Drosophila melanogaster: one gene and its partners. The protein of the gene in region 1 interacts with the protein of each later gene in a pairwise test. Each region holds a gene or a part of one and is shown in the gene's direction. Other genes may lie near its edges. The genes, in order: Cpr76Ba, GstT2, CtsK2 and CstF64.

Region 1 (4,383 bases):
GCCCAATATCCAACGTCTAACATCCAACTTCCAAGTCGCCAGACGCAACCAACTGCGATGAGCAGATTGCAGCTGCTTTGTTTGTCGCTTCCTAAGCTCGGTCTAATTGACAATTATTTGCCGTCCGGGAGCTCCTCGTTCCGAAACCCGTTTGAGCCGCGATACCGCCAAGCTATCTATATCCATATATGCTGCACGAACTTATATATACATATGTTGTATATATCCCATGCTCCCCCGATTTGGGCGCCCCAACTTTTGGTTTCAGGCGCCGCCGAGCGGCAAGTAAAAGTCGTCGTCGACGCTTCGCTGCAGCTGTCTAATGGCATTATAAAATTTATACCTGCCAGCATTACGTTTCGACTTTACATAAATTAATGGCGATTTGCTCTGCGAGTTTGTCGTGTCTCCACTTGGCCAGTTAATCCTGCTAATCCGTATCAAAATCAAGTGCTTGTGACTTGGGAAAACTTCCCAGAGACTCATTCGCAAGGCGGACACCACTTTTTAATGCATTTCCATATATTTTTCATACCTTAATAAGATATTTCTGTCTCATAAGGTATTTACTAACCTTTTCTATCTAGTAGATAAAGGTATAAATAATTTATAATAATTTATAATTGTATAAATAGTAAATGTCGTCCCTTCTTGATTATAAACAGCTACGCTTATTTATTTCAATACAAATATAAATATCGTCAATACTACACTTGTAAAAAGTTGGCTTTAGTTAGGTAAGTTCGTTGCATTGTTAACTAATGATGATTCCAGATCGTTTTCGCCGGGTGAGTCCGCATTTTGGTTGCTTAGTGCAGCTGCTTCACGCTTACGTAGCTACTGGCGTGGCCTCCGTGTCCGTATCCGTATCCGCCATATTGCGCCACATCGTGACCGTAGCCGTAGTCGGCGTCGTAGATATCGCCGTGTCCGTAGCCCTTGTGGTAGACCTGGGGGTGGTGGGCGTGGCCGAGCTTCTTTACCACTGCGTTGAAGCCATTGTGGTCATCGGCGGTGTACTCCACCACTCGGGTGGTGCCATCCGATTCCTTGAGGGAGTAGCTGCCCTTGACCTTGTCGCCATCCCGCGTCTCCCACTGGCTCTTCTGGTCTCCGGTGTGGGCATCCTTGACGCCGTAGTCGAATTGGTACTTGGGATAGTGATGGGGCTCGTGCTTGTCGTATCCGTATCCGTAGCCCGAATGGCCGACACTCGGATAGCCGTGTCCGTAGATGCCACCGTAAGCGCTGACCACATCGTGATCGTATCCGTAGCCCAGGCTCTTGTGGACGGGTCCTTCGTGCTTGGTCACCGAACTGTAGCTGGTGGCGTGTCCACCATGGGGAGCTGCCCAACTGGCTCCCACCAGAAGGGCAAAGAACAGACCTCCGCTAAAGGATTTCATATCGGTCACTTATTCGCTGTTTTCCAATCGGAACTTTGATGATGTCTGCTGGTTCTTGGGGAGCTCACCTAGACTATATATAGCTATCGAAGACTCTGGGGCAATCAACCATCGGGTGGTCATTCTCTTGGCCACACCATTCACCAATCGAGCTAGCTGATTTGATAATTACCTCACTAACTCGTACTTATTATTATTGTTTCGGCCATTGAGCTCTATAGAAAATCGGCACATTTTATTTAAAGTCCAATCCGTTACAATTAAATTCTGCTAGTAATAATTAATAATATCAGATCCAAAAAGTTTTTGTTAGATCGTTCGATGTGTTTGGTATTCAGTCAAAGAGAAGGGAAAAACTAAGGCAAGAACTTATTGCTTAATTTACAAAAATTAATTATGACTGAGAATGTGAACTGATGAAGGCGGCAGCTTTTGCTTGAAGAAATAAGGAAATGCTGTTAAACTAACCAATAAATAAACTTTGTAGTGTTGTACTTTGAAATCCTTATGTAAATATCCAAAGCGAACCTATTTTGCTATAAATAATTATGTGTTTTTCCTAGAAATCTGTTGGCTTCAACATTATATTTATTATATAGTTATTAGTAGTTTTAAAACTTGAACTACAGGATTTCTTTTTATTTAATATGCATGTTATTCCTATAGATAGCGAAACAATTTATGCAAATAAACGTCTTAAAAATAATTAACATCAGATAACGTAGGCTAAATACCAATATGCTTATATTTTCACGCATTTCAAATTTCCGAGCTTAAAGTCTATTAGCCTTGTAAATTATATGCATTAAAAAACACTATCGGTAAGTTAACACCAATTCGGAAGCTCTGGGTGCCCCACAGCAGACCCCCTGGTCAGAAACACCAACCGATTGGACGGTCCGCCCAACGCTGCCCTCCCCTTCTCAGCCCCTTACCGCACCGTCCGTCTCAAGGTCATTTGGAGTGAAGTAGGCGAAAAAGAGGGTCCAACCGTGGAAACGCAGCGAGGCGAGGCGAGGCGGCTATTGCTGAGCAATTTGAAAGCGGGCCACACTTGTTGATTGATTTCTAAGCAACAAAATCGAAAAGCTTTGCGTTTTTCAAGCATTTGAGCGATGTTCACGCCCCGCTTAATGATGATGTTGTTGTTTCTGGCAAGTTTTAATTTGCCAATCGACCGACCGCCCAAGACTATGAATACGAATGGGGAAAAATGAAAATTTGCACAAAAATTCGAAGCATTTTTTATACCCATTTTTGGGGCTCTTACTTTTTTCTAGCCTATTTAGCCCGCAGTCTAAAATGTAATTAATCGATCCATAGAATGGCCAGAAGTATAAAAGCATTGGGCATTGTCTGGTGATTATAACAGTTCCAATCGTGATTTAGGCCAGGCAAGTCAATCAGAAACCAACGAAAATGGCCCACCAATTGAGCATCCTCTGCTGCGCACTTCTGGGAGTGGCTGCTGCTAGCTACATCCCTCATGGTGGATATAGTCACGAACACGGCGTGGGGTACAGCATCCAGACGCATCACGAGGCGCCCAAGCAGTGGCAGGATCACCACCAGGCTCACCACCAATGGGTGGATGTCCCAAAGGCCCATTCATGGGGCACAGTTCAGGATCATCACCACCAGCAGTGGGCTCCAGTCGCTGCGCACGATAGCCACCACCAGTGGAGCCACCACGAGGAACCCAAACACCATCCCAAATACGAATTCAATTACGGGGTGAAGGACACCAAGACCGGCGACATCAAGCAGCAGTGGGAGACCCGCGATGGCGACAAGGTCAAGGGAGGCTACACCATGAAGGAGGCCGACGGACGCACCAGGATCGTTGAGTACACCGCCGACTCCCACAACGGATTCCAGGCAACCGTGAAGCATGTGGGACACGCCAGTCACTTGGAGCACAGCCACTCATATGGCCAGCAATACGGACATGGGCATGGTCATGCCACCAGCTACGTGGATGTCAAACAGGACACCAGCAGCAAATGGGAGGACAAGAGCAACAAGTGGTGGTAGAGGAGCTGACCTAACTGACTGACTGCAAGCGATTCGGACCGACTTAATTATTGTAAATAGAACTACAAAATTGTTAACTTAAATAGTAGGTAAATATATCAAAGTGCAGAAAAAAGCTACAAATCAAACTACTTTACTATTTAAAGTTTTTACAATAGTTCTGAGATTTAAGACCACAACGAACACCGTTTATTAAATGAGAGAAACAACTTACCGATCCAATAATTCTAAGATACATTCGATACGGAGGATGTTGAGGCCTTAGTGTCTTGCAGCCTTTTTGTATTCTAGCTCACATAAGGAGGTTCGGAAGATCTTACGCACATCTTTTCTAAGGACTTTGAAGGCTTCGGCTTGTTCAGAAAAGTCCTTCCAAAAGTTATCATCAGAGTCCGGTAAAGATATGGTAAAGATGGTAAAGATATTCCTGATTTTCACAATTTTTTAATTCATCTACATCGCCGTCGCTGTCGTTACTTAAGTTCCCCTGCTTATTCGACTCGATCTCGATGCCCAGAGTCATTGACTTCGAAACGAATGCCATTGAAAGTTTTTTCGGACCTCCCATTTTTGATATTATTAATCTGCTGAGACAGAGAAACAACGCCTGAGAAATCCTATTTATTGCCTATTTTCCAATTGAGTTGATAAGTAGTAGAAAGCTATAGGTGACCACATAAGATCTTAAAAAGTGCCTAGCCTGGTCAGCTTAAATTTACCATTTGTGTACGTTGAACTAAATTAAAATAATGAGTACAGCAAAACACATGTTATTTTCAAAAAATTTCCACACTTCCCTAATAATTGTATCTATTGTATAACAAAAAGTGTAGAACTTTGTAGCACAGTGTAAAATACATACAACATCTACTTTACAAACATTGCTTCGTACACAGTGTCAAAAATGTCGAAAACTGAGACCCCTGTCGGAAATTTACAGAAC
Region 2 (4,496 bases), on another chromosome or scaffold:
AAATTGAACAATATTATAGACGACAAGTGCACACTAAAACGAAATAAGAAGCAAATGGATCGCCATCAAATGGCACAAAAACCTCACAAGTTTGTCGATTTTAATTTATTGCTGTCCTTATCCACGCACATACTTATACACATTCTAACGTCCGGTCGAACGATTCATTCTACCATGATCCCATAATGCATTTTCATGATGAAATCTTCAACGTCTTCTACTTGCGTGCTAAGTTGTTGTTGGCTTTGATTTTATCGCATACTTTTATAAATACGGTACATGAGCATACATATATATTTTGGATAATTTTTCAGTTGGTTAAGTGTCGTTTTTACTAATTTTTGATACTAGTTTACACATACATATACATGCATCTCTATATTTATGGATAATACATACATAGTTAAATGACTATATTTAAATGTGACAATGTACTGTAGACCCCATGTTGAGTGCGTTAATAAATTAAAGCGAATTTGTTTAAATGTCGGTATAACTAAAACATAAATGGTATTACTTGGGGTTGCCTTCTTCATAAATGGGGTAAGGGTAATGTGTTTATCTGGTCGAGATAAACGCTTTGTGGTTCTTGATGACTGGTTGACATATCGCTGTTTGAACTGAGATTCCGATAAGTGAAATCGATAAGCTTTCGGTTATGACAAAAGCAAGGCTACAGCATTTAATTTTATTGATCATTGGTATATTTTATCTGACTTCTTACCACCACCTGATTATTTTGAACTTATATATTTGCCCGCCCTTCTCGGATTCCCCATAGAATGGGATGGGATGGCAATATCATTTTGGGTACAGTGTTGAAAAGCGACCAGTTTGAACTTTGGACCGGAATAAAGCTTTTTGCTTTGAGCTTTTTGACATTTCATCAGCGACAACAAATATATTTTGTTTTCGTGTTTACCGGGCTTCCTGAAGCTAACTGATTAATTAATTGCCAAGATGTCGAAGGCTATTAAGTATTATTACGATTTCCTATCGCAGCCATCCCGCGCCCTCTGGATTGCTATGAAATTGGGCAAGACCCCATTTGAAGACTGCCCGGTTGCCCTGCGAAAACGTAAGAATAAATAACAAGTTACACATGTATATAAGGTATAAAGATCTTCTAACATTTGGGATGGTTATATTCCAGAGGAGCAATTGACCGACGAATATCGCAGTATAAATCGGTTCCAAAAGGTGCCGGCCATCGTGGATGGTAAATTTCAGTTGGGCGAGAGTGTCTCCATAGTGCGGTAAGTTCAAGTATCCAGAGCTCGGATTGCCAGGTTAATACTATAGATAAATGACACATTTCAGATATCTCGCGGACAAGGGAGTCTTCAGTGAACAGCTGTACCCCAAAACCTTGGAGGAACGCGCGCGGGTGGACGAGTTCCTCGAGTGGCAGCATTTCAATGTCCGCTTGGTCTGCTCCCTGTTCTTCCGTCAGGTGTGGCTTCTTCCGGCAAAGGGACTGGCGCCGGCTCCCAAGCCAGAGTCTGTCAAGAAGCTAATCAAGGATGTGGAGAGTAATTTGGGTCTACTGGAACGCCTCTGGCTGGAAAAGGACTTCTTAGTCGGCGACAAACTTACCGTGGCAGACATCTTCGGGTCTTCAGAAATTAATCAGATGAGTAAGACTGAGCCCACTGCTGTATCTAAAATAAATTCTAATAATAACGATTTGTAATTTAGAGCTCTGCCAGTACAACGTAAATGAGAAGCAATTCCCCAAGGTGGCCAAGTGGATGGAACGCGTTCGTGATGCTACCAATCCCTACTACGATGAGGCCCACAGCTTCGTCTACAAGACCTCTCAGCAGGCAGTCAAGGCCAAAAACTGATTTCTTTTCGATTTTGACTGATTTCTTTGTTCATTGCATTTATTAGGATTTTAAAACATTTTTGTGCCTTATCTGATGTTTATTGTGTTCAGTTCTGCGCTGCAAAACTCCTAAATGTTAAAATAATTAGAGACTATGAAAAGGGGTGATATCGGATCAATAATAGTTTCATATGTTCGCTTTATATAATATAACTATCTTTGAAGTTGGGAGCCACTTTTGAATTTGCCTCCTAAAGCGGGACAACTATAATAGCATAAAACCAGTGTTGCAAGGTGACACTCAAGATCTTTTGACTGGAGCTTTGCTCAATTTCTCATTTTCCAGCTGAAGATATTCGTTTTTGCCGGCTGTTTGGAAGTTGGGGCTGAGGAACGGGAGCAATTGACCACCATGTCCAAGCCAATTAGATTCTATTACGATTTGTTGTCCCCGATCGCCCGTGGTCTATGGATTGGTTTAAAATTCAGCAACTCACCCGTTGAGTATTGCCCGATTGCCCTGCGAAAATGTGAGTCAAAGTAATCATCTAAACTGCCCCGACTCATTTATGTTTTATTAGTTGAGCAATTGACCGACGAGTACAAGAAGATCAATCGATTCCAGAAGGTGCCCGCCATTGTGGGTGGGGACTTCCATTTGTCTGAGACCATAGCGATTATAAGGTATGGGAAGGCCATCATTGGAAAGCAATCTCACATTTGGATCGTACATTGCCCCCTTGCAGATATCTCGCAGACAAAGGTCAGTTCGATGAGAAGCTCTACCCAAAGACGCTGGAGAACCGTGCCCGAGTGGATGAGTTCCTTGAGTGGCAACACCTGAACATTCGTCTTGCATGTTCCATGTACTTTCGAGATGCCTGGCTGTTTCCCATGAACGGGATAGCGCCCAAGCCCAAGCCAGAGCAGATTCAAGCACTGATTGAGGGAGTGGAAAACAATCTGGGTTTACTGGAGCGCCTGTGGCTGGAAAATGATTTTTTGGTTGGGAAAAACCTGACAATGGCTGATATCCTTGGCTCTTCCGAAATCAACCAGCTGAGTGTGTTAAACTAGTGTGGAGATAACTTAACGAAACTAATTATTTTTATTGTATTTAAGGGCTCTGCCAATACAGAGTGGACGAGAAAAAGTTCCCAAAGGTGGTCAAATGGTTGGAACGCGTAAGGGTATCCGCAAATCCCTACCATGACGAGGGACTGACTTTTATTGACCGAAAATCTAAGCAATCGACGGCGGCAAAGTTGTAAGGACTCAAGTACTTACCACTTACTATTTAACCAAATTCGTATAGTTTTATGTTGTTTAGTTTTGATTTGTTTGTGTTCGTACAAAGATTAAAAATCACTACGTTTTATATGTTACGCACTAGACTAGTCGATGTCTAGTTTTCTGAAGGATCCTTCGATTCCAAAAAGTGATTCGGCGCTAACGGGCTGTCCTCGCCGTAGCTTTTCATTCGTGCCATAAGAAGCCTCCTCCTCAAAGAATGGCTTGTAGGCCAGGAGCTTGGTCCTCCATGTACTGACGACGTCCTGGATGGTTCCATTGCTGCCCCCATACTCAGCTGGCAAGCATTCCTTGGGCACATACTTGTAGAGACTGTCCAGTTTGGAGTGTATATGAAACTAGACGGGTAGAAAATGTTCCATAGTGGTTACACTTTTGTGACATGTTTGATAAACTCACCCGTTTCCGAATCTTTTCGCTCATCAGGCTCTTGGCAATGGACATGAACTTCTCTGCACTGGAGGGCGCATTTACAAAGTGAAAACCCTTGGGCCTGTAGGGATACGCTTTGTCGCCCAAAACGGCCAGTTTCTTGACCAGCACCGCGTCGAACTGGAATAGGTGACCTGCCCCAACGCCCTTCATGTCGATGATCTCCACAAAGCCGGATATCATAGCATTGTCGTCTTCCCTTATCTGAATCTCGCCGAGCATCGTGTTTACCTGGACAACCTCGGCAATGGAGTACTTCTTCGAGTCGTATTGACCGTAGCGGGAGATGTGGATGCGAGGACCATCAGCCTGCAGTGGCTGCGGCAATCGGAGGAGGCAACTGCAATTTGAATAAATTATGAGGAAACATTCTTTTTACAACCTCAAGTAGATCTCACCCTGTGTCCAGAATGCTGAGCTGCTTCTCACCCACAATGCGATTCTTGTAGAGCTCGGGCACGGCTCCCCTCATCGCATAGAAGTTGTCCAACTTGAGTTTGGTTTTCTCCAAGCTGTATTTGCAGCCACGCAGGAAGGCGACCAGGAACTGGGCATCCTGGCGAGCCTTGAGATGAGGTTGCTTGGAGATCCAAGTGCGCAACGTTTCGATATCCTCATCGATTCTGTCGGGTATCTCTCCCAGCTCGTCGTGCGCCTTTTTGGCCAGCTCTGGACTCAGGCTGCGTATGGAATTCGAATAGGCCTCCGACATTGCTACTTTTCGCTGGGTTTGCCTTATCACCACCTGTTCGATGCAAAGCATAGGTTTGATTTATTGAAATTTTTCCAGGTGCGATTAGTCAACCGGTTGCTTTTGGCCCCGATTTCCGCCTAGTTATGACAGTAACTGGTGTCTCTTGAGCGATGATTAGATAGTAGCCATGCCATATGGCCACCATTTCTTCGTCACTGAAGTTCGACATAG
Region 3 (5,448 bases), on another chromosome or scaffold:
CACACAGAACGAGGTGTACATATGTGTGGCCATATATGTATATATATATATATATATGTGTGTGGTATGTGCCAGCAGCAACAAAAGCAGCAGCAGATGCCAAGACAACCTTGAAATGTATAGCAGGGTCCAACGAACGAATATAAAAAAGGTTCTTTGGTTCCTTGGTTCCATGGTTCTTTGGCTCTCCAGGTTCTTGGGCTCATTATTTCCTTCTTCTTTTTTTTTCTACTTCAAGAATAAGCGAGAACAGTAAGTAACTGCTCGCCGGGAATGCCCCAATCAGGATAAATCTCTGGGGTAAACGACGGCTCCAGAAAGCAAAAGTGCCAGCCGATAAGAGGAGTATTTTTAAACAGCCCGAATGCGATTGAGTTGGAAGATAAAACCCGGAAGTTGCGGAAGTTGAAAGCGCTGGCGAAAGTTCCGACTTGGTGCGATTATATAAGGGAATCTCGCCGGTATGCAGTATCAGTGCAATCCAAACGCTTGCCTTGAAAACCATATCCTTTGCAACTAACCACACAATGAAAGTACTCCTGGCTTTAACTTTCCTGGCCACTTTGGCTCTTTCAGTGGCCCTTCCCCAGGTGGGACATGGATCTGTAAATGGACCCAGTGGGGTAAGTATTCCTCGGAGAAGCCAAGATGTTTTGTTAATTCTATGCATTTTCATATATGTGCACTCAGCGCTTCCCTATGACGAAGAATTGGGCGCAACCTCCGGTTGATTTGCGAAAACCCATTATCTTTCTGCCAGAGGCCACGCCCATTCACGAAGCCCAGGAGTCGCGCCCCCGACTAGCCAAACATCGCAAGAGTGGATAGATGCCAAGGAATACCTATTTATTATTTAAATTTAATAAGTATATGTTCGTAAGACAATCTGTTTCGTTGACATCTTATAGATGCGAATTATATTTAGCAAAACATTAGAAAAGTCAAGGAATTTCTGAAATATAAGTTAAGAAACATAGCACTAACTCGCTATAAAATAGCTTACATTCTAATAACTAAATTTGGCCTTCATTCGAATTAATTGAACATGAAGTTCACAAAAATTAGGTACAAAAACATTAATTTACTTTGGAGAAGGACGAAACATAATTTAATCTTGCTTACAAATTTACAAAATGCAACCAGTTTTTTTCGCGTGCTATATTTTATTGAGTTTTTGATAAATTTCGCTAATCAAACATTACAACATATATATATGGCGTGCTTAATGGCACTAACTAATGCTTAACTAATAACTTATTTAATTTAAAACATTAATTTCTGTGCCAGATATAAAACAAGTAAGGCAATGCAAATAAATTGTTTGATTGTAGCTGAAGAACTTTAAATTAAGTTCTTTATTAACCAGTTTGATACTCAACGAATTATAGCACCTGTTTCTCTGGCAGTTCAGATGGAGCTACTGTTTGTTGGTTCTTTTGCTATTAATCAAGACCCATTTTTATTTAAATTTATTTCTGAATTTATCAAAGATACTAGTTTCCCATATATGTATGTGTATGTATTACAATCAATGACGAATGAGCAGTATGAGTGCTTGAGCAGTTTCCCAAGTTACTAAATATTGAAGATAAATATTTCTAGAAAAAAAACAATCATTCCTAATTTGAATCTCTTATAGAAAAACACGTGCAGACAATATTTAATTGAAAACAAATCCTATGATTGGCCCTTTACCAGAAATAAGCAGAAACTTGATGAATATTCATTGCCTAGTTGACATAATTAATCCATAGTCACCTAATTTAGATAAAAAACTTGTTTTCCCAAACTGATTGGGGATCCCCCAAGGCACAAACGACGAATTTATTACATCTCAAAAGTATTCTAGCAAAGCTATTTAGATTTCATTTTAACGTAGCTACTGTTTCAAAACCCGAAAAAAATTGTGGAACCGACGTGTTAAATTAAAATGCAAATTAATATATTTGTTTAATATGCATGCATGACTATGTCAATCCATACAAAACACATTAATTAGTCACGACACTATTACAAATTGGGTAGGCTATAAAAGATCGGGAATTGGGATGGCCCCAAAAAAGTGGATCCAAGTCCATCGTCCACAAAGGTTGATTGACATAATTAATAATCGCTTGAACCGATACAGATCGTCACTCAACGGTGTTATAATTAATTGGAAACGGAACTCAAGCGGGTTTTGCTTTTAAGCTTCAAAATATACTCCATGCACTTCACGTAATACCTAATTTACACGAATTTAACAACGGGTTTTCGTCGAGTTCCGGTTTTTCCTGAAAGCATACGTTATCAAAAAGTGACTTGAGAAGTGATTAAAAGTGTTAATTGCAAACGAGAATCCGTGCGATCAAATATACGAATGCATTCAGATAGAAAGCAGCCCAAATGCGTAATCGTTCTATCACATAAAAGTCAAATAATCAAGATTTATCCACTTTATTAAACACACCCAATCTGGACCAAAATAGATTAAATTCTAATACTCTCCCATATTCCGAACCATCTTGCATGGCGCTAATGAACCGAGACGAGTTCCCAAACCACACGGCGAATATCGCTGGATCGGTCGGATCGCACACATCAAAACAGATATAGCACATACTCGTATACGATATGCATGGTATAATCAACGCGTTTCGATTTCTGTATAATTCCGAATCACTGGACTTGGGATTTATGGATTTGAATGGATCGGGTGGGGGCGAGGTTGGCCAGTTTATAGCCTGAAACCTACTAGTCTAATGGCTATATAAGCCCCGATCGACGGTCGAGACAAAAACATTTGTGTGGACCGTGCGAGCGCGTTAGGTTAGTCTATTGGGAATTACTTGCGATTACTCGCATCAGAAAAATTTGTGCAATAGTATCTCGTATTTGCAATAGACAAGCAAATCGGCTGATAAGCCGATCATATGCAATCAAATATAATTAGTGCATCGCCGTTTCACCCTTCGACTACAAAACCAGTCGGAACTAATAGTTTCGTCTTTTGGCAGATCAGTATGAAGCTTCTGTTGGTTCTTCCACTTCTGGTGGCTGTGGTCTCTGGCCAGGGATTCGGAGGCGGTGGATTTGGAGGCGGATTTGGAGGTGGACTCGGAGGCGGATTTGGAGGTGGACTCGGAGGCTTGGGCAACAATCGAGTGGGTGGAGCTTTACAAAATGTGGCCGGCGCCGTTCAGAATGCCGTGGGCAACATTGCCAAGGCTGTGCCCAAGGTGCCGCTGCTCTCAAACGTCCAGGACTTTGGTGACTTCTTGGTGAGATAGGCAGCATTGATCAATTTCAAAGGTAGAAGTAAAACTTCAACCGATTTGCAGAGCCAATCTGGAAAGACCTATCTCTCCGCCGCTGATCGCGCTCTTCATGAAGGTGCCTTCGCTTCCACCAAGAACCTGGTGGAAGCCGGAAACGCAGCCTTTGCCCAAGGAGTGCACACCTTCAAGCAGGCCGTGAACGCCTTCGCCGATCTGACCCACTCTGAGTTCCTTAGTCAATTGACCGGTCTGAAGAGAAGTCCGGAGGCTAAGTAAGTGCTAACAAACCATTTGCACAGCCGGCATAGGATTTTATCAATTCTATATCTGCACCCAGGGCTCGAGCTGCTGCCAGTTTGAAGTTGGTCAACCTGCCTGCGAAGCCCATCCCGGATGCCTTCGATTGGCGCGAGCATGGCGGTGTCACACCAGTCAAATTCCAGGGTACCTGTGGCTCCTGTTGGGCCTTTGCCACCACTGGTGCCATTGAGGGACACACCTTCCGCAAGACCGGCAGCCTGCCCAATCTCTCTGAGCAGAATCTGGTCGACTGTGGTCCGGTGGAGGACTTTGGCCTGAATGGCTGCGATGGTGGCTTCCAGGAGGCCGCATTCTGTTTCATCGATGAGGTGCAAAAGGGTGTGTCCCAGGAGGGGGCCTATCCCTACATTGACAACAAGGGCACGTGCAAGTACGATGGCAGCAAGTCCGGAGCCACCCTCCAGGGATTCGCCGCTATTCCGCCCAAGGACGAGGAGCAGCTGAAGAAGGTGGTGGCCACTCTGGGACCAGTTGCCTGTTCGGTGAATGGTTTGGAGACTCTTAAGAACTACGCCGGTGGCATCTATAACGACGATGAGTGCAACAAGGGCGAGCCGAACCACTCCATTCTGGTCGTCGGTTACGGATCGGAGAAAGGACAGGATTACTGGATCGTCAAGAACTCCTGGGACGACACCTGGGGCGAAAAGGGCTACTTCCGCCTGCCTCGCGGCAAAAACTACTGCTTCATTGCTGAGGAGTGCTCCTATCCCGTGGTTTAAGCGGGGAATCCGAAATTTATGGCAAAATTTACTGTGCAGTTTGTGATGTGGACTTGGCGTTGGTTGCGTCCATTTCTTAAATAAAAGTCTTTTCTTAATTATAATGCTGCTAAATTAGAGTAGTTAAACGAAAGTAATGCAATGCATTGCTTTGCTTAAATATTTACAGATAACAAATTAAAGAGGAATAAACAAGAATCTTTTGGAAATTTAAAACTATTCACGGGTTAATTGGGCACTAAACGAACTTTAGAGGAGTTCAGCAATTTGATGTGAACAATAACCAGACCTTTATGTCCAAACAAGAAGATCTAGATATTCGGGTAAATTAAAAAAATGTTTGGGGATAGTAACGGAAATAACGCTTGACATTTTAAAACCTGTTAAAAGCGTTGCCAGATGCGGATATTTACAGCAAGAAAGCAAGTAATCGATGATTTCCCCAGTTGGGGATATCGATTATTGCCAAATTTGTGTAAACATCGATGGTATCGCTGTACCGAGACAACAATAATAGAAATAAATTAAGTCAATTGGCGAATTAAACTATATTAGGCGCAGAAAAAACGGCGGACATTTGATGAGCAGCAGGCGGGGAATGCCGTGACGAAAGGCGGCAGTGCGTCCGATGGAAGGCCACCGCGCAACAGTGTTCCTGCAGGTGTGTCTGCTCCGGAAGCGATGTTCTGATCAGAAGAGACCAGCCCACTTTTGGGAAAGTGGGCGTTGTCACCAGAGCGCACGAAACCAAAGCCCCCGGCCACCTGTCTTTCTCCCACTGTGTGTGTGCTAATCGAGGTTTCCCCTTGCCCCTTCCTTTCCAGAAATGTACGCGATAGTGGTGCATGTGCATTGCGACTAATCCAAAGAGTCCCCCTGTGGTCATAACGCATTTAACAACCATCGCAGCCAAATAGTCACGTTTCTCCAGAGATCCCCGTGTGTCTGCACTTTCCCCATCCCCGATAACCCCGCCCCAAGCATGGACGAAGATATCCTAAACGCTGTGGAGTCCCTGTTCGGCAAGGATGTCAAGATCGTGGACTGCGAAACCTCATCCTCGCTGCAGCAGGAGGAGGTGTTGCTGGTCAACGGAGTGCCGGTGAAGCTGGATGGGCTGCCGGCGGATGATGCCAGTGCCATAAAGG
Region 4 (4,878 bases), on another chromosome or scaffold:
TGCATTGGAGAATATAAAGAATGTCAGAATGTTGGTGCCAGAAATTACTGTACCAGTCCCTGGGCACATTCTGCGCTCCGATATCAACGTCTTCGGTGAAACGATACCCGATATGCGAAGAATGCGCCGTCCGGCGATCCAAGTGATCAAGTATCCACGGAATGCGTAATGTTTAATCTTAACAAACGCGTCTTTTTACAAAACCAATCCAAATTTATAAAGCTGATAATTTAATAATAAACCCTACTTTTCTTATAGAAAGGTGATTTGGACTGGAAGAACCCTTCGCACATCGTGCATCCTAACTGTTGAAAGTAACTCAATTAAAACCACAAATGTTTTACTATCGGGGGTAGCACAAATAATCAGTAAAAAAACGTTCGTTGGAAGTTTCTTGTAGTGAGTAATTTCTTTAAAAGCCAACAAAATAAAAGCATGATAAAAATAAAATTGTTTCAACAGCGAGTGCATTTCTAATATGATGATTATAATGATTTTGGTTTACCAGTAATTATTTTGTTCTTTAGAAAGCTACCAAATAAGTACAATTAAACATACAAGGCATATTTAATAATTGAGGATCGCAAAGGATCAAAATGAGAGAACAAGAGTCAATAAACTTTTCTAGCACAAAGCAGACCCAACCTCAACACAGTCACCCTTAAAGTCGATTCCACATTTTCGAAATCAGAGGTGCCATTTTAAATCGATTCTATTGATTTAGTAAAGCCATGTCTTATATTCGAATCCGTTCATATTAACCACATTCTCTGAGTAGAGCAACATAAGAATTCTGATTAGAAGGTCCTGTTTGGGCAATGGAAATGGCGGATTGGAATGCCGGTTGCAGATGGGTGAGACAACTTCTGGAGCAGCTTTTTTCTCTCGGGGAGCCAGAGCAGCAGGAAGAAACGGAATCAGAATCGGAAAAAAAGAGGCAACGACCCAGACCCAGCCTGCTGACGAGTTATTGGCCGTTCATCTGGTTTGCCTTTTGCTGCTTGCCTTTTGCGATAACTTTTGCTTTTATTTATAGTCTGTCTGCAGACCAACATTCACTTGTTTCTTTTTTGGGATTTGGCCATCTCTGCAAGGGTGGCTCTTTGTTTTGGGGGCGAAGGACAATGCGAGGGCTGCACATAAACAGCGGCAAACAAATGTCTACGTCTGTTGCTATTGATTTTTCCTTTGCCAAAGGTTACACACACCACGCACACACAACACCCACATGCACACATGCACACACAGACTGTCGAAAAATTGAGGAGCACACGGTGCGTAAATGCATTATGATTTATTCCAGTATCCCAGTTTGCAGCGACAACAATCGCCAGCCAACCTTTTTTCCAGTGTGCACACACGCGCGCTTGTTTGTGTGCGTTAATGTCGCTGATCTTGCCACTTATTGTACGATTTTTTTCTGCTGATTATTATTCACATAATTACAGACACACACAATTTAAAAATGCACATATTTCCGCTTTTGTTCACCAGCCATTGCCATCGATTTCGTTTTCGTTTCGTCCATGGAATGGAATGACACTTCCACAAAGAGAGGACGCCAGCTAATTACCAGTATCGATCGAGAGAGAGAGCGGCTGAGAGCGTATCCTTGGAAATGTAAAGAGCGTGGTGCACCTGCGGCCGCTTAAAGATGAAGAGGAAGTGGAGTTGGAGGAGGAACTGGAACAGGAGGACCAGGAGCCAGGAGGCTCTCTTCTCTTCTTTTTCTCGTTCAATGACACAGAAATCTTTCCTCTCGTCTTCCGCTTTGTGCGCTCCTTCTTCCAATATACAAGCGAGCTTTTTATATGTGCGAGTGCGACTGCGAGGCCATCGCTGCGTTTATCTCCCTCTGTCTGTGTGTGTGTGCGTTTGTGTGTGTTGGAGTGCGTGTGGCTACACACAAAGTAATATTTTCAAGCACGTTTTTCATGCACTTCGAGCCGTTTTTTGTCTATTGCCGCATAGAAAACGAATAAACGCCACTTTCATCTACAATTTGGTGTACAATTCGTGCATATTGGTGCACTTTTCACTATCAAAAACCGTTTAAATCGTTTTCACCTTGCGACAAGAAAAATTACAACACCAGGCGTTGGAGTGCTGCAAAACGTATGCGGGCTGCGGGAACTTACCAGCACTAGCAGTGGTGGTATTTTTGGCTAAGCAGGGCATTTAGCTATTTTCTTGCTAAATACTACGTTTCTAAGTGATGGCAATGGATGAGAATCCCAAAAATTAGACCAATACTGTTAATTATTTTCTCAGGTGTTTAGATAAGAAAATAAAATAAAATGGCTTGCGTATCTGTTATTACACTTTGTTTAATATTTTGCGTCCCATACCGCTTTATTTCCCAAAAAGTATATGAAAAGTATGAATCCCTGGTAAGGGAAATTATTCAAGGAAGAAGAAGAAACAGCAAGCCGGAACGCAGGGAATTTTTTAGACAAGTTTGTCAACGTTTGCTAAGATTTTGTCGAGTTTGTGCAGTAAATAATAACAAACAACAGATATGGCAGATAAGGCGCAGGAACAAAGTATAATGGACAAGTCCATGCGGTCGGTTTTTGTGGGGAACATACCCTACGAGGCCACCGAGGAGAAGCTAAAGGAGATTTTCAGCGAAGTGGGCCCGGTCTTGTCACTGAAGTGAGTTCCCTACTTAGAGCCATGCAATATCTCACTGTAAACCTCCTATTCTCAATCCCCCAGACTGGTCTTTGATCGGGAAAGTGGCAAACCCAAGGGCTTTGGCTTCTGCGAGTACAAGGACCAGGAGACGGCTTTAAGTGCCATGCGGAATCTGAATGGCTATGAGATCGGCGGCAGAACACTGCGAGTGGACAACGCGTGTACGGAGAAGTCGCGCATGGAGATGCAGCAGCTGCTTCAGGGACCCCAGGTGGAGAATCCCTATGGCGAGCCCTGCGAACCAGAGGATGCTCCCGAGCTCATCACCAAAACGGTGGCTTCCTTGCCGCCGGAGCAAATGTACGAGCTGATGAAGCAGATGAAGCTCTGCATCGTGAGCAATCCATCGGAGGCACGCCAGATGCTAATGCTCAATCCTCAGTTGGCGTACGCTTTGCTCCAGGCCATGGTGGTTATGAGGATCGTGGACCCTCAGCAGGCGCTCGGGATGCTCTTCAAGGCCAACCAAATGCCCCCCGTCTTGGGCGGCAATCCGCACCAGGGGCCGGGGAATCACACCATGATGGGTCAGCAACAGGTTCCGCAACAGCAGGTGCAGATCCCGCAGCAACAGCAACAGGCTCCCCAGCCACCAATGCCCGTTCCCGGACCTGGCTTCCCGGCCAATGTCCATCCGAACGATATCGATTTGCGCATGGTGCCGGGTGGACCCATGCCGATGGATCCCAGGATGATGGGCCGTGGCATGGACCAGGATTTGCGAGCTTCTCTACCCAATCCAGTGCCACCGCCGCTGATGGATCCCCGAGCTCGTGCCCAGATGCCCCCACAGCAGCAGCAGGGCGTTCCGCAGGCGCCACCGGCCCCCTATCCCAGCGATCCGCGCCAGCGTCCCATGGATCCCAGGTTAAGGGCAGGACCTGGTCCTCAGCAGCAGGCGCCGCCACAAGGAATCCCCCAAGCGCCGCCACCGACACAACAACAGCAGGCGGCCGCTCAGCAGTTGCAGAGCAGACTAGGCGCCCATGGAGTCCTGCCCTCGGATGCCTCCGACCAGGAGAAGGCTGCCCTCATCATGCAGGTACTGCAGCTGTCCGACGAACAGATTGCGCAGCTGCCCTCCGAGCAACGGGTCAGTATTGTCATGCTCAAAGAGCAGATTGCGAAGAGTACCCAGCGCTGAAACTACTCTGGCTGAAACAAATGAAAAATCACCATTTCGCTCATGCATACTATAGTACTTTCAACATTGAATCAATTAATAAAAAGAACATTTCAACACAAGGAGATTTATTAAGCGGAATAGAATGGTTTTCAAAGAGCGGAGACTAGGGTCTGGTGTAACTTCTGAACCGTCGTATTGAGCATTTGTCGCAGCACATCATCCTCGGCACAGCTGATGGCCTGGAAAGATTGTAGATTAACGATATTTTTCGATTTTAAAAAGCACCTTCGACGAACACTCACCAGGGTTTCCAGATTTATTTCCGCACGTTTACCGCTCACCGTCACTGGCAGCAGATCGCCCTCGAACATTTTTGGCACGCAGTTGTCGCCGAAGGTGTCCTGTAGCGTCTCGATTAGGCACTCCCGAAAGCGCGAGTCCTCTGACTTGGTTTGCTTTGTGGCACCCTTCAGATTTGTTCCGCCCAACTCCGATTGCATGATGCAGGCAAGAACGGCATCGGCGTACACATCATTCACATGCGTCGCTTGCCACTCCATCACAATGATTTTCTGCTCCACAGTTAGCTCGATGCAGCCGAACACGCGCAGCTTTCGCTCCGCCTCCAGCACCTCAACGCATCCGGCTCCAATGCGATCCAGCAGTAGCTCTAGAGTGCTCAGCGAGCTGCCCCAGGGAATCGACTGGCGTTGGGTTACAACAGACATGCTCATATCCGTGTATTCTGTGGGAATTATTTAAATGAATCGACATTTTTACAAAGAAACTAACTAACTATTACTTACTGCCCAGATCAGAAGGAGCCAAGAGGTGGTACTTAAAGTCGCGCTTAACCAGAACACCTGAGAGTTTGCTTCCCACCTCCGAGTTCTTGGCTGCGAGGCTTCCCATCACCTTGGCGGTTTTCTCGCCACGGAAATAAAGATCCACGGCATGTGTGTTTCGCGGGTTGTAGAATTTTATATCCGTGCTTGCATCTGCTTCGTATTCCCGCTGCAGGGCCAACTTCAGACGCGACATCTCGTTCTGCTCGC

What was found.
Region 2: the proteins of Cpr76Ba (region 1) and GstT2 interact in a two-hybrid assay, tested with the Drosophila melanogaster proteins (one large-scale study listed by BioGRID).
Region 3: the proteins of Cpr76Ba (region 1) and CtsK2 interact in a two-hybrid assay, tested with the Drosophila melanogaster proteins (one large-scale study listed by BioGRID).
Region 4: the proteins of Cpr76Ba (region 1) and CstF64 interact in a two-hybrid assay, tested with the Drosophila melanogaster proteins (one large-scale study listed by BioGRID).

Annotation. Positions count from the first base shown.
Region 1 is NT_037436.4:19,516,718-19,521,100, reverse strand, and holds Cpr76Ba (cuticular protein 76Ba), read left to right. Parts: upstream 1-2,768; 5' UTR 2,769-2,825; coding exon 2,826-3,440; 3' UTR 3,441-3,549; downstream 3,550-4,383. Other genes in the region: Cpr76Bb (cuticular protein 76Bb), read right to left, coding at 810-1,406.
Region 2 is NT_033778.4:9,605,127-9,609,622, forward strand, and holds GstT2 (glutathione S transferase T2), read left to right. Parts: upstream 1-2,165; 5' UTR 2,166-2,240; coding exon 2,241-2,358; intron 2,359-2,409; coding exon 2,410-2,512; intron 2,513-2,574; coding exon 2,575-2,891; intron 2,892-2,950; coding exon 2,951-3,099; 3' UTR 3,100-3,222; downstream 3,223-4,496. Other genes in the region: GstT1 (glutathione S transferase T1), read left to right, coding at 961-1,078, 1,154-1,256, 1,321-1,637, 1,699-1,847; CG12926 (uncharacterized protein), read right to left, coding at 3,223-3,477, 3,539-3,911, 3,970-4,283.
Region 3 is NT_033778.4:17,509,456-17,514,903, forward strand, and holds CtsK2 (cathepsin K2), read left to right. Parts: upstream 1-2,774; 5' UTR 2,775-2,912; coding exon 2,913-3,260; intron 3,261-3,320; coding exon 3,321-3,529; intron 3,530-3,594; coding exon 3,595-4,300; 3' UTR 4,301-4,400; downstream 4,401-5,448. Other genes in the region: CG34193 (uncharacterized protein), read left to right, coding at 528-623, 691-828; CG4853 (uncharacterized protein), read left to right, coding at 5,283-5,448.
Region 4 is NT_033777.3:18,657,187-18,662,064, forward strand, and holds CstF64 (cleavage stimulation factor 64 kD subunit), read left to right. Parts: upstream 1-2,431; 5' UTR 2,432-2,518; coding exon 2,519-2,655; intron 2,656-2,718; coding exon 2,719-3,841; 3' UTR 3,842-3,940; downstream 3,941-4,878. Other genes in the region: Cpsf73 (cleavage and polyadenylation specificity factor 73), read right to left, coding at 3,973-4,062, 4,126-4,568, 4,630-4,878.